2 linked regions of the Tamandua tetradactyla genome follow. The protein of the gene in region 2 interacts with the protein of the main gene of each other region in a biochemical or structural test. Links are inferred from orthologs where the notes say so. Each region holds a gene or a part of one and is shown on either strand. Other genes may lie near its edges.

Evidence for each region. The genes of interacting proteins can lie anywhere in the genome.
Region 1: the proteins of ETS2 (region 2) and ZMYND11 form a complex in vitro, tested with the Homo sapiens proteins (2 studies listed by BioGRID). The link is inferred for Tamandua tetradactyla from reciprocal best matches to the Homo sapiens genes ETS2 and ZMYND11.

Annotation. Positions count from the first base shown.
Region 1 is NC_135327.1:206,533,866-206,540,690, reverse strand, and holds the start of ZMYND11 (zinc finger MYND domain-containing protein 11), read right to left. Parts: upstream 3,020-6,825; 5' UTR 2,782-3,019; intron 2,233-2,781; exon of another isoform or gene 2,177-2,232; intron 998-2,176; exon of another isoform or gene 620-997; intron 1-619. UniProt on the Homo sapiens protein: Chromatin reader that specifically recognizes and binds histone H3.3 trimethylated at 'Lys-36' (H3.3K36me3) and regulates RNA polymerase II elongation. Does not bind other histone H3 subtypes (H3.1 or H3.2).
Region 2 is NC_135336.1:103,035,241-103,042,793, forward strand, and holds the start of ETS2 (protein C-ets-2), read right to left. Parts: upstream 3,023-7,553; 5' UTR 2,956-3,022; intron 1-2,955. UniProt on the Homo sapiens protein: Transcription factor activating transcription. Binds specifically the DNA GGAA/T core motif (Ets-binding site or EBS) in gene promoters and stimulates transcription.

The sequences.
Region 1 (6,825 bases), on a different chromosome or scaffold from region 2:
CAAATAACAACAGATGTCATGGGTACTGATATTTGAATTTTCATATAAACAATATCCGTGAAAAAGTACCAACTAAAATACAGAAATTATCTGTTCATCACAGGTAGAATTATATAAGAAAAATATTTTATTGGTTCTGTCATAACTACATAGTAACACAACCCTATCTTCACATCTTTGATTCTTTAACCTGGCCAAGGTCTAAAGTAGAGTTGACCAAAATAACGACTGCAATGTAACCAGCACCAGTTAGAAAAAAAAAAAAGGTATTGATATGCCTGTCAGAAATATGTTATATCCTACTTGTACAAATTAGAAAGAAAAAACTAATGACCTTGTCTACCTACCAGAAAGTATTTAAACTTTATAGTACAACTAAGACTATCTCCCTGGTAAGTGACCTCCAACTATTAATTGTAATTAATGATCCAAAGGCCTGAAAAAGTTATGCATACTATAATTACTAAGCTAAAACTACCACATTTTTTCAGTTTAAAAGAATGTAAGTAAAAGCTTATTTTCAGCCTTTCAAAAAACAGAAAAATTATTTTTAATAATTTATTAAAATTATTCTTGCCTTCCATATAAAACCGAAGCTAATAGTTATTCTTCCTTCAAGGCTTATTATAGGATTCGGCATGACAAGAGTGAGGTAGTGCGAAGTCCCTCACGTTAAGTCCCCGGAGACTTTAAAAACTCAAGAGAGACTGCTTTTTCCACTCCACTAGCCACTTGCTTCAGCAGTTTCCCTCACAGAATGCAGTGGTTTACTAAAATCACCATCAGACATTTATCAAAACGGACTTTCCTTGTGGGAATGTTTTGCAATTTGTACTACCTTCCCAATTCATTTAGCGCTTGCTTATTTAAATACACAAAGCCGTTTCATACTTCATAAATACACATGAATAAAATCGCGTATTATATACAATTAGCGTGCCTCCACAGAAGAAGGGAGAAAAGCTCGAAGGGAAACAACGTAAATAAAAGTTTTATGTTCCACGCGACTCATGGTCTGCCTCACTACATCTCCGAGGTCCTCCGCGCCCCCATCCCTACCAGAAGGTGCAAGGGAAGCGGGATGACACCTTCCTAAAGGAGTTCCCACTTCATCCCAAAGAAACTTAGACAACCACAAGGCACGACTGTTATGAGCTTCCTCCAAAAGCAGCAGCTTTTGTCCAATGCTCTCAATAGAAAGAAAAGTGGTAGATTCCTCAGGAAAATCCTTGAGGCTAGACTGAGAGGCGCAGAAACACAATTCACTGGGGAAGGAGAGAAGTTGGGGAGATGGTGTGCAAATGAAGGAATTGCTACCAAAGAGGGGGAGAGGAACCTGTTGCGGAAGGACCTCGCGTTTATTTGTTCCTGGTCTTTCCAGGGATTCTTGCCCCCAGCTCCCGGGAGAACCAGACCGAATCCCAGTCTCAGTTCGGGGGGTGGGGGGAGTACACAAACCCTGCCCGGCGCTGCCATTACTCTCCAAACAACAAACCGCGACGACAAACGTTTACACCACCCCCTCATTTCCCTCCCCTTTTCCCCACCTCCCCGCCCTCACCGCACACATAAATCCGCGTTCCCTTCGGACCCGGACCGGCAGGCGTGTGCCCGAGAGGCCTGGGCCGCGGGCGGGGAGAGCTGCGGGCGGCGCGGCGCGAGGGGCCGCTCTGCCGCCTCACGCGACTCCCCGGCTTCCCCGACACCGACAAGGCCCCTACGCGGTTTTCCCGAGGAGCCTCTTCCCAAGCGCCTTTGAAGGCAAGAGGGGTCGCGGGACAGTGACACACCACCGCCCACAACAATCCCTCACAAAACCCCGCCGGCGACGACCACCTCGAGGGTCCCTGCACCGGGTGACCCCAGTCCCCGGCAGGGTCCCCCAACCCCAAGCACACAAAGGTCCCCGGGCAACTTTGATATACGTTCGGGGGAGAAGGCGAGTGGCGAAGCCAACACCACCTAACCGCCACCCCGAAAAGACTGCAACCCGGGGTGGGGGTGGGGGTCAGAGGCACAACAATACGGGGTCATCGTAATAGCCATTAATACTCATTAGCAGCCCCTACCCGCACCCACCTCGTACCCCGAGCTGCAGCCCCGACACCCTCGCCCCCGGCGCAACTGGCCGCCCCGGGGCTTCCCCTCCCACGGAAGCCGATTTCTTTTCCCCCACCATTATGCTCTGGCTCCTCGCCGCCGCCGCCGCCGCCGCCGCCGCCGCCGCCTCGCCCGCGCCCTCCCCCACCCCTTCTTCCCCGTCCCCCTCGGCACCGACTCTCCGCGCCCGCCCTCCTTCCCCAACCACCAACCACCTCTCCCCGGGGCCTGGAGCCAGCCGGGCCGCGCTGGGGGAGGCCGCGCGGGGAGCCGGGGGGCGGCGCGGGGTGCGAGGCGCGGGCGCGGGTGGGTGCCGGCGCGGCCCGGGCCGCCGCTCCCGCCGCCCTCTGCTGCCCTGCCTCCCCGGCGCGCCCGGGCTCCGCGGGCCATGGGACTGCTGGAAAAGGATTTGGTAGTTTTGAGAGGCGCCATGTTTATAATCCTCCATCATATAAAACACACACGGGAGACACCAGGCGAGGAAAGATAGAGATGTTCAAGGGCGGCCCGGGACCGGTGTGCGTGTGCATGTGCGTGTGTGTGTGTGAGAAGGGGTGCGTGGCCGGCGGCCCCGGGGAAGAAAGATGCCGGCACGGGTGACGAACGGCGAGGGCTCGCTGCACCGGCCGTGCCCCGCCGGCCTCGGCCCGCAGTCCACCCGCCCGCGCCTTCCCCACTTACCGTCTCTCCTCGCCGATGCTGCGGCGGCGGCGGCGCGGCGGGCCGGTCTGGAACCGCGAGCAGGCGGCGCGGCGCGGGAGCGAGGGAGAGGGGCCGCGCGCGCTTAGTGGAAGAAGTTGGAGGGCGCCGGCAGCCTGCCTGGGGAAAGTTTGCAGTCCCTTCCCGAGGCCGCTGCCTCCCGCTTCACATGTTGGTTGTTGAGTGTGTGGGCTTTTTTTTTTTTTAATCCCCTCCTCTTTTCCCCCTTCTCTTTCTCTTCTCGCCACCCCCCCCACCACACACACACACACACACACACACACACACACACACACACACACACACGCTCACTCCCTCTGCCTCTCTTTTTCTCTCCCCCTCAGAGTTTTATTGTGTCTGATTTTTTTTCCTTCCCTTCCTCTGTCTGTCCACACAGTTCAGGTTTCTGGGGTAAACAGGGTTTCAGATGGAGCGAGGAGGAGTAGGGAGCGTGGGCAAAAGGAGAACTCTAGCGGCAGTGGCCGGACTTGCTTCTTTCTGCTAAAAGGCTTTTTTTTTTTAGTGTACATTCATATTGTACAAATAATATAAATACATTTATTTATATTTAGTCACACCTACGTTCCCTTCCTTCCTTTCTTTGGCGCCTCTGTCCAAAATTTGTTTCAGCATATTCTTATATATCCACAAATGCCATTTTGTAACAATACCTACGTCAAAGATACATACAGGCACGCTTGAGTAAAAGCAGTACACACAAAGATTTAAGCACTCATATCATTGTTAGGCATTGACAGTAAGGGGATGTATGCATCTGTCAGCCAAGATTTGTTTTCATATGGGATGTCCCTGTTATGTAGTTTATATTACATGGAATTACAGAGCCTTTAGGAAACACTGGTTTTTGAAATAAAATTGGTAAATAGTTTTACTATCTTTTTTATCCTATCATCAAAAAGATTGCAGGGATGTACTGAATTTCTCATTCCATAGACACGCAAACATGATTTCAAAATAAAAAGGTCCGCCCGCTATCAATTTGGCAAGAACACAACAAATTTGTGTGAGAAGTAAGGCTATTTTTACACTTTGGGATTCTAGATCTAACCAGAGAAGGTCCCAATACATGGTTTAAAAAAGTCTGGGTGATAAGTATACTTTTATAGATTTCATATATTTTCCTAATGGCCTTTCTCCACTTGGAATTTGGAAGGAAGACCTATCAGTCCAAATTTCTTACTGTGATTCTCATTGGATACATGTACCTGGAAATCCTTGGGATGAGACTATCCCAGAAATTTGGGGATTCGAATCCAGTTGATCCATCTGCTTTCATAACTGGTCTCTAAGACTGAGTTAGAAATTACAGATAGGTTGTCCTTGACTAGGTGGTCTATGGTTTACACCATTGATGACTTTATATTCTGAATGTTGAAGAAGCATAAACTTTAACTGTTCACATCTCTGATACATCCCAGAGAGTTTTTGGTTTTCTTAAGGTACATCACAAAATAGATTCATTTTCCTTTAAGGATAAATATATTCCATTAGAATTCAGCAGAGGGGTTAGATTATATCAGAAAAAAAAAAAAAGCCATACTTGGTTTGAATGCTACACCAGGAATTCCAACAGTGAATAGCTTTAAGTAAATCACCTTAAAAAAAAAAAAGTCTGTTACTTAAGCTGTAAAATAGAGGGACTATATGGTTCTATATATTTCACAGGTATCACTCAAGTGAGATAATGTTATACATGTATAAGTGGAAGCTTACCTTTTAGGAAAAAAGATGCTGCATGACACCACATTTCTACCCAATCATATTTTGTAGACATTATTACCATTTTTATAACCAGACATCTCTCATCTATCGAATATATTTTAGATAACTTATCCCTGAATTTCCTGTTGTTTTTGCCTAGAATTTAACTCTTGACTCTATTTTCTCTTCAGAATAAATTTATTTACCTCATTTGTCCCTCAGCTGAGTGAATATGTGTATATTGTGGGATGGGGGTGGGGGGCAGTGATTCAGAGGTGGGGATTCAGGAGGAGGTCCAGAAGACCAGAATAGTTATTTCCATGCAATCTAAGTTATAACATTATCTACTAAATGGTGAAGAGAGGGAGAGGGTAAAGAAAGAAAAAAAGAGTAGGGACAAGAAATAGTTTGTCTCAACTCAGACATGTTTTAGAGACTTAGCACCACCTAAAGGAAGAATCCCACACCTGGTCCTCTTGATTCCTTCTTCTCAGCTACAACAGTCTATACTCAACTAATACTGGTTTGATCAGGTATCACTTTTTTTCTAGATTCTGCTTTGTGGCATATAATACAAATGGATTATTAGACGTAGGTGGAAATTTTTGCCCTTGAAAAATAAATCAAATTATATACTTACCTTACACTATACGCTTAAAAAAAATTCCTAGTGACTTAAGGAATATAATTGTAAAATCTAGCCATTTTTCAAAAACATTTTCAGTATTATACGCATATTTTGTTTGAGAACATAGTCAGAAATATATGGTGTAAAATAACTATGAAAAAAACATCAAGAATTAGTGAACATAAAATGTTACACTGTGTTATGATAACTAATGTAAACTAGTGACCTATACAGGTCCATTTCAGTGGGACTTGTTTTACATTAATGGGGGCCCAGGAATGCTTGGCATTTTTTTTTCTAATTTAAAGTAATATTAAATTTTCAAATCTAAGAATGTTTTTTCAATAACAAATTATCCTTGTAAGATTGGGAAAAATCATACAAATTAAAAGGTAAACTAGGAGGAGATATCTGCAAAACGTAAGACTCAGGGTAATATTCTTTAAATATATAAAGCTAATTGACATCATAAGATGAGCTCCATCATCTAAAAAGAAAACCAAACCAAACAAACATGGATCATGGATAATAATATAAAAGAACTATAAAATATAAATAAATAATGAAAAATATTCAAATTTACCTGTAATAAAATGATAAATTAAAACAATGTGACACACTTTTCTTCAAATGGCAGAATTTTTGTCAGTGCTAACGCTATTGAGGGTTGGTGAAATGGGCACTCTCTCATAAACAATTGGTATAAAATTGAATGGGTAAGAACTATCTTGAAATACCAAGAGCCTTAAAAATATTCATATCTTTGGCTCAGGAAGTCCTTATTTAAATATCTATCCTAAAGATACATTCTGAAACACAGGCCAAAATATATGGACAAGAGTGCTGATGTTACTTTCCAACTTACAACCCTTCAACGCTTTTTCTACTGCATTTAGGATAAAATCCAAACGCCATTCCTTGACTTATGAAGTCCAGCATCATTTAGCCCCTGCCCATCTCCTGACCTCATCACTCAGTACACCACTGACCTTTTTTCCCATCTCAGGACGTCATATGGTGTTATCCCCTCCTTCAGAAATAGTCTTCCCCCATCTTCCCAGGACTAATGCTCCCCATCCTCCAGTTCTATTCAAGGTATGCTTTTCCTAAAGAACCTTCCTGAACCCCCAATCTAATTTACGTGTTCCCTGTGGGTTTTTTTCCATAAGACAGGATAATTTGTAATGATATATTTACCTTGGTGTTTATAGTCTGACGAGAGGATTTGTTCTCCATGGCGTACTCTGGGAATATAAATATTTCCTTTAACATATATATGGTTAAATGAAAAAGTGCCACAGATAAAATTGATGATCTCATTTGAAAGCAAAGCAGCAAGATTTGAAAGCAAATCTTGACTAAAGACTGATCTTGACTAAAGTCAAGATTTTAGTGTGGTGTTGTTTTACATAACTAAATTATATATATATACATATATATATAATTTATATATATATATAATCTTAATACCAATACCCCCATAGCTCTGTCATTCAGGTATTGCAGTCCTTCTTAACACACATTAATTAAAACTACTTGTTAATTGGATCACCTTATACTTATGCTAGTAATTCAGGGATGGAATGGAGTAAGTTTTCTGTAAATGCAAATTGCCCAAGTACTGACAAGAGTCATGTGATTTTCTCTCTGCCCATGAATAGTGGAAGGAAAAGTTT
Region 2 (7,553 bases):
GCTGTATGGGGGCACCCTGAAGCCATATGGAGGCACCCCAAAGCCATAAACGGGGCACCCCTCATACCTTCGCCCTACCCTGTGTTCTCCATTGTATGCTCCCACCTGTTACAACCAAGAGCTCAGAGTAATAAAAATACTGTGGAATTTGCTCAACTTACTGGAGATAGCAAATTGCATATTTGCACATAACTAATTCTGTTTGTGCTTTCCTGTTGTCTCTTTATGGTCAGTATTTGCAGTTAAACCAGACTTCCCAAAGACCCCGCCACCCACGGGGTGCACACACAAACACACACACAACATACACACGCACACCCCTAGGCTAACATGGCAGTGTGGGAGGAGGCGAGAGGCTTCAGAAAGAGCTGCTAAAACCCTGGGATTATAGGTAATTAGATTACTGATAATAAACAGCTCTCTGGGTGGGGCTTGGGGGAGGGGTTCCTGGGTCTACTTCCTCTGCTCAGAAGCTCTTCTCGGTTGAATTTATCACCCACAGGGACTCAAGTATCAGTGTTCCCCGCTGCTGGCGACGCCCGCTGGCAGAATGCAGACTCAGCGGCCTGCTAGGGCCAAGCACGTCCCTACCTCCTAAACCTCCCCAACACGCCAGAGGCAGATGCAAGCCCATCTCGCCTTGAGGCAGCAGCGTCCACGAACTCGTCCCGGATCCCAGAGATACTCCGGGGTCACCGAGGGGCAGGGAGGACCCCAAATCTTATCTGCACATTTGTGCGTGACCCTGAGTCCTGAGCTGCCTCCCCCGTGTCAGGAAGAGCCCCTTCGCCCGCCCCCGGCCTCACTCCGAGACAGCGCACACCTGTCCCCAGATTGCAATCCTCTTTAACTTTAGAGCCTGATGTCACTGGGCTGGATGATATCACGCGTGCTACCTGTGGCAGAAGGGCAAAAGGCAACCCCCTGGGTGCTGCCTGGTACCCACGCAGGGTCCGGGAGGACAGCTCTTGTTCCCGGTTTGGTCTGTAGGATGTGGGCTTGCTTCTCCGGGTTTCAGCTTCCCAGAGACCAAAGACCATGGAAGGCAATGGAAGGGCTCTGCCTGGCTCTTGTGTACAAATACCAGGACGAAAGGCAGCTCACCACTCCCACATAAAGAGCTGTAATTGCTAGCTACAGAGCCGAATTCTTTTGTTGTCCAGGTTTTAATGAGTTTTGTAAAAACCATGCAGAATCAAAGTGCTCTACTAAATGGTTTCAGGCAGACACATCACTAATCAAATTTAAGTTCATTTATTTTCCTCAACATGGCTTGTCAACGTGACAAGTTTCACCACATAAATCAAGTTCAAATGTAGGTCCCTCTGGTGTTGCTGGATGGATCACTCCTTTTGAACCAAAAAGAAAAGGGGGTGGGGTGGGGGGAATAAGGACAGAATGGAATGGCTAGAATTGGTCAAAATTCAAAACAAGAACTGGCCTGACCACAGCACCCCACTGGGAGAAGTGATCAGTTACGTAAGATTAGAACGCAGGCTTGTATTAAGGTAAAATTGCGGGGAAATAACAAACAAATCTGTAACCCACTATGGAAGGCCCCTTTGCTGTTTTCGCTTTCGAAAGTCACCAGTTTAGAGAGAGGAATGACTAAGCCCAGAAATGAGCGTTTGAATATTTCCCCGAGGGGGACACACACGTTGCTGTACTGTGAGATTACTCAGAACTTTAATAAATCTTCACCTGGAGATTTATCTTGGTGATGGCTGGTGATGTGGGCAGGCAGACAACACACCGACTTCCATTGTAAGGAACAATCTTCCTAATGGTGCATTAAAATAAATTACTGCCACCCCCCAGGTGGACAGCTCACCTCTTTACTTTCCAAAAAAGAAGCAGGTCAGTTACTATCTTAGAGCACTCTGAAATGTAGTACAGTCTCACATAAAAAGCCTCATGTGCCCTCAAACCAGCTAACCCCCAATCCCAAACCCACACACAGAAATGCTCAGCTATCCCTTCATTCAAAACGCTTCAGGAAAGAGAACCTCACGGCAGCCCGGCGCACCCACACCCACGTTTCCAACAGGACCCCCACCCCGTCTGCCAAGCTCGCCCCCCGAGGACCAAGAGCCTACCCCCACCCCCCGCCCCGATCCACAAGTCAGGGGGCACCCTCGGGAGTCCCGCCCAAACAGCAGGACGGGAGGGCGCCACCCCCACCCCAACTCCCTCTGGCACCTCCCTCGCCCGCCGTCCCCCGCCGGGACCCTGGACGTGGCCGAGCAGGTGACCGGTGGGCGTCGTGGCGGCCAGAGGAAGCCGGGCCCCGGGCTCCGGCACGATTTCGGGGTGCCGTAGCCTGCTAGGGGGCTTATACGAGCCTCCCTCCGGGTCCCGCGCCGCTCCACACAATAGGGCGCCCTAGTAAGACATCATGAAACCCGGGGCGCGCTAGCGGCCACCGCGGCCACCCTCCCTCCTGCGTCCCCAAGCCCCGGCGCGAAATCAAGCCCGCGGGGCACCCACAGGACAAGAACCCCCGTAAAGAAACCCCACCAGGCCCGCGTCGCCTGCTAAGAAACAAAGCCCCGGAGAAATGAAACAAGCGGCCGCCCGGCCCGCGGAGGCCCCCGTCGGCCCCTCCACTCCGAAGGCCACCCGGGAACCCGGAAAACTGGCCCCCAGCGGAGCTCGGACGCGCGAACCTCGAATTCGAGGAGCAGCCGCCACCCCCACCTTGACCCCGGGCTCTCCCGGCATCTAGACCTCGGTGTTGCCCACGGACCCCCGCCCAGTTTCTGAAACCCCCCTACCACCGAGAGGAGTCGGCGAGCCGGAGGGGGCTCTCCGCAGACCTCGGGCCACGGGGGTCGGAGGTGTGGATCTCCGGCCCGCGCCCCCGCCCCGCAGGCAGCCCCTCGCCGCCCGAGCCCTGGGACCCCGGCCCCGCAGGTGGTCCCTCCCGGCCCAAGCCCCGGGACCCCGCGCTCTTACCGCGCCGCTTCGGGCAGGGCCGGCGCGCAGTCGGCGGCTGCGGCTGCTCCGGGCCTGCGGGCTCCCGGGGTGCGCGCTGGGCAATGGGCGCCCGGTGCTGGGCGAAGGCCGAGGGCGAGGGCGAGCGCGGCGGATCCGGGCCGCGGCGGCGGGGGCGGCTGGCGCGCGCGGGTGGGGGCGCTCGGCGAGGCCGGGGCGCGAGCCGGGGTGGGCGAGCGGGTGTTGGGGCTGGGACTAAGTCTACACCGCGCTCCGCGTCGCGGCTGGAGGAAGTAGCCGGCCTGTGGCCCTTGCGGCGCGCTCTTCTGGAGCCAGGGGAGGAGGGCGGAGGGAGGAGGGAGGGGAGAGAGGGAGGGGAGGAGGAAAAGGGAGGGGAGAGCGGAGAGGAGGGACCGAGAGGCGGGGAGAGGAGGAGAGAGGAGGGGAAAGGAGGAGGGGAAGCCGACGTGGAGGAGGGGAGAGGAAAGAGGGAGGAGAGGCAGGGGAGGAGGAGACGGAGGAGGAGGGGAGGAGGGGAGGAAAGGCGGAGTGCAGCGCAGGCCAGCACCCGGCTCCTCCCGGCGCCCTCTCTCCGGCGCCCGCTGTCCCAGTGCCGCAGGGTCTGGGCTGGAGCTGGACCCCGGGCTCGGATCCCCGGCCCCGCGCGCGCCCTGGGATGTCAGGCCAAGAGTCTTTCCTTGGAGGGATCCGTTTTCCCCGGCCGTCCCAAGGCTTTAGCTCCTAGCTTGGCAGTCGAATTCAGCCCGAATGGAGAGGCCGCAGATTGAGCTGGCCCGGTTCCGGGACGAAGGATTTCTGGCAGTTCTCTCATGAAAAGTCTCCAAATGAGGTTATGAATGTTCAGTTTTTGGGGGGTCACCTAGTTGAGTCGTGAAAGTGGATGTTCTCTGCACAACCCTGGGGAGCCCCATTCTTAGCGCGCCCGTGTGTGTGGCGCCCCCTAGAGTTGGGCGGTGCCTGAATCAAGCCCTGAACTCTCACTGAGCATTCTGGTTGAAATGCCTGTGGGGGTTGCTTATCCCCGCTGTACCTGTGGGGGGACTTTAATCTTGGAGGCAATCCCTAGCTGGGTTGTAAAAGGCAGATGGGAAATTCAGGGTTGAAACCCGAGTTTATCTAACTCCCAAGCTTTGTGGTCAAACCCACCACTCATGCTGCTGGTTTCCATGTTTTATCAGAAGGCACTCGAGTCCATGGCTAGCAATGTGTGGATTTCCTATTTAGGCTCCAGGTCAGATTGCCGATGCTGTGGAGGAAAGTTCTGATTCCTGCTGGTGTATGAAACAGAAAAGTCCCGCCAGCTCAGGCAAGGGCCTGTGGCTGAAAGTGCATCTCAAGGACTGGGCTGGAGGTGAACAGGATAGCCCAGCCTCTGTGTTATCCAGCGGCCCTGATTTCCATGACAGCTCTGGATCTGGGGTTAGCTGGCTAACTGACATCTTTCCAGGTATCAGCAGAGCTTGTGTCAGAGACAGAGTCTGCACACCTGGAACAACAGGGAGCAGGGGAGAGCGGTATTTTTCGGTGACGGAATTGACTGGATGGCCTGGATCAGAAAGCAGATAAGGTCAAGATGTTCCATAAACGGAATACAGATCCATGGTAAGTTGCCATGGAGATGTGAAGAGTGCATTGCTTAAAAAAAAAAAAAACGTACAGCAGAAAAACACTGACTCATCAGGGCTGTGATTTCACTAATATAGGGGTCCCACCCCCCACCCCAGACTACTCACTTACACCTAGCTAGTGTCTGAGAAGCTGGGTGTGCCAGCGTTTCATGAAGTCCAATTGCCCAAAGTGGGCCACCTTGTCCCGCAGCTCCCACTTCTGTGCCTGTGGGATTCTCATGCTTTCTCCAAGTTGTTGAGGTGCACTGACTTTTGGGGCGACAGCTTTCACTGGTACAGACAGAAGCTGAGAGGAGGTGCTTTGTCCGTGCTGGGTTCTTCCAGCATCTGAGCAGAGAGATGGAGAGAAGCAGCACAGCACTTTGGAGATGGCCTTCCTCGGCTTGCTAACTCATGACTATTCGAACCAGTTATTTTACTTCTCTAGGGTCAGTTCTCTCTTCAATAGAATAAGTGAGTGGTTAGAGACCTATGTCACGAGGCTGGGGTGAGCAGTTGACATTAGGCTGAATCTGTAAATAATTTATCAGTGTTGTAGTATGTGGTAGAGAAAAGTTCAACATGAGAGCTAGTTTGTTTTTTCCTCCAAGCTCCCCTCTGGGAGCATTTTATGAAAAACCCTTTAGAAAAAACACCTGTCCTATGCATAAAACAGACCATCCGGACCCTCTCAGATCTCAGAGGATCTGTCAGAAACAGATCACAAAATGCAGGCTCAAAGAGGTGCAGGAGGGGTGTAAGCTGGGCTGTGTGCCTGGGGAGTGCCGGTAGATGACGGCGCCCTCATGCGCCTCCTCAAGCCTGGTGTCTCGACTCCCTCCAGGGCCCTCTCCTGGCTTGCTTCACCTTCCAAGGAGCCCTGGGCTAATCCAAACAGCCCCCCTGCCCTGGGCCGGCCACTGTCCCTCTATGCCTGGGCGGTTCCACGCCTTTAATAAAATGGCATATACTAGTTCTGGGGCAATATCGGAGTTCCTGATATTTCCTTCCTGTTTTCAGCTGGTTTCCTGGCTACTTAGCAGAACTCAAACCCTGCCTGGTTGAAGCCTTGTGGTTATTCATTGACTATTATAGCAGGATTCACAAGGAACGCTGGGCTTCGCAGTCAATTAAACCTTATAAATGTACAGCACTTGCACCTGAAGATCAAAAGTTAAAGGTATTAGAAGGAAATTAGAAGTCAGAAGGCACCCGGGGTGAAATGATCAGATGCACTTAGATCAAGCTGAATTTAAAAGCCATCTAATTCTTTTCTCTTAAGATAGAGAGAAGCTCATGAAGAAAAGAGGAAAAGGGATATTATGATAGAAACGCATAAGTGCATGTATACTCTATACCTAAGATGTAAAATGCAGAAAAAGTTTACCAAATCATCCTTGAAGATAAATTTTAAAAAACACGTTTCTTAGTAACGCGTCCATTATTTGCCTTGCAATCCAAATCAGTGGAGCTGATGCACAGTTCGTGGGGGTTTCCAGTTGCAAGTTAAACAGACGTCATTTGGTCTGTGATGTATCCTTTATTTATTCATTCTGCAAACATGGTGGTGGGTGCTGGGCAGGCAAAGATGAATAAGGTTTGGTCCTTGGCCTTGATGAGGTGAAGATACAGACTAGAATGAAGTACAAAGTGTGGTAAAATTCACACACAATAATGGAACTTTAAAAATCCTGGGGGTAGGGGGCTGGGGAGGCAAAGAATGCCCTTAGAGATAGAAATCTTTTGATTCCTGTGTATTCTGGCACCTGTGTTTTCTAGGTAGACTATTTACACTGCAGGCTCTTGGAGGTGTTCAGGGATAATGTTTATTCGAGTGATGTATGTTGGGGTCAAGGAACTGATAAAGACAAGTTTGATAATCCAAATATATGTGCAACTATTATCCTGGCCACTTGACCCTCCATTCTTGCCCATTTGCAGGCAGGGCTCAGATGCCAGGAATCCAGCAGCCTGCCAGCCTCCTAACAGGGAGGTATCAAACCAGGCAGCAGCAGGAAGCTTTTATTCTTTTCTTTGTGCTTCCTCAGAATTGCAAATACGGGATGATCCTGGAGGTCAAAACTTTTCCTCGGGTCCCACTAGAATGCCTTCTGCCTATTGGCAGCCTCATCTGCCCCAAGGGCTCATCATCTGTCAAGTTTGGATAATATCAGTACTTTTTTCCTAGGGCTGTCATGATGATTAAATGAATTAATATTTTTCAAGCACCCTAGGAAAACCCCTGGCACGTAGTTCAGTCTGAGTATGTGATAAACAAGCAATGGCTCCCTTGACCCTGGGGAGGCCGGTTTTCTACATCCTCTTCACTCATCCTTTGAACACTGCTTTATTTTAGACTCTTCTGCATATATTGGAGGTGATGGTTCTTTCACTATAATTTTCTTTCCCTGGTAAGAGACCAGAGAAGGAAACACTGAATTTTAAAACTGGAAAAACACCTTAGAGAGTTGATAACAGAGACCAGCTCCTGTTTTTACAGAGAAGGAAGCTGAGGCCCATGGAGAATCGATTCCTTGCCCGTGGTTGTGTGGCTATTTCCTGGCACTGCCTACCAGCTCCGCCAGCCACCTGCTGGCACTGTCCTCTCCCTTATAAGGCAGCATTCTTGGAGTGTACAAACCACCTTTAAAATCCACCGTGATAGGAAACGGCATGATGACATGCTTTAGGCAAGTCTGAACAACAAAAATAGACATAGAGACCCGCTGTGTTCTGTAAAACTGATAATCCCTAAATAAATGTGTCTGAAAGGTGAGTCAGCCCTGTGCAAATATGTGATTTTATAATGGTGTGATTTTTCTGAATCACAAAGTGACTCCCACAGTATGTGATGAACTACATAATGCACAGAGCCTGGACTTTTTTAATCTTGCAAACTGGAAAACTGAACCCCTAGTCTTCACCCAAAGTAGGAGTTAGTCATTATTGAACCCGTCAGTCTAGCAAATGACTAAAGGAAGGTTAATTCGC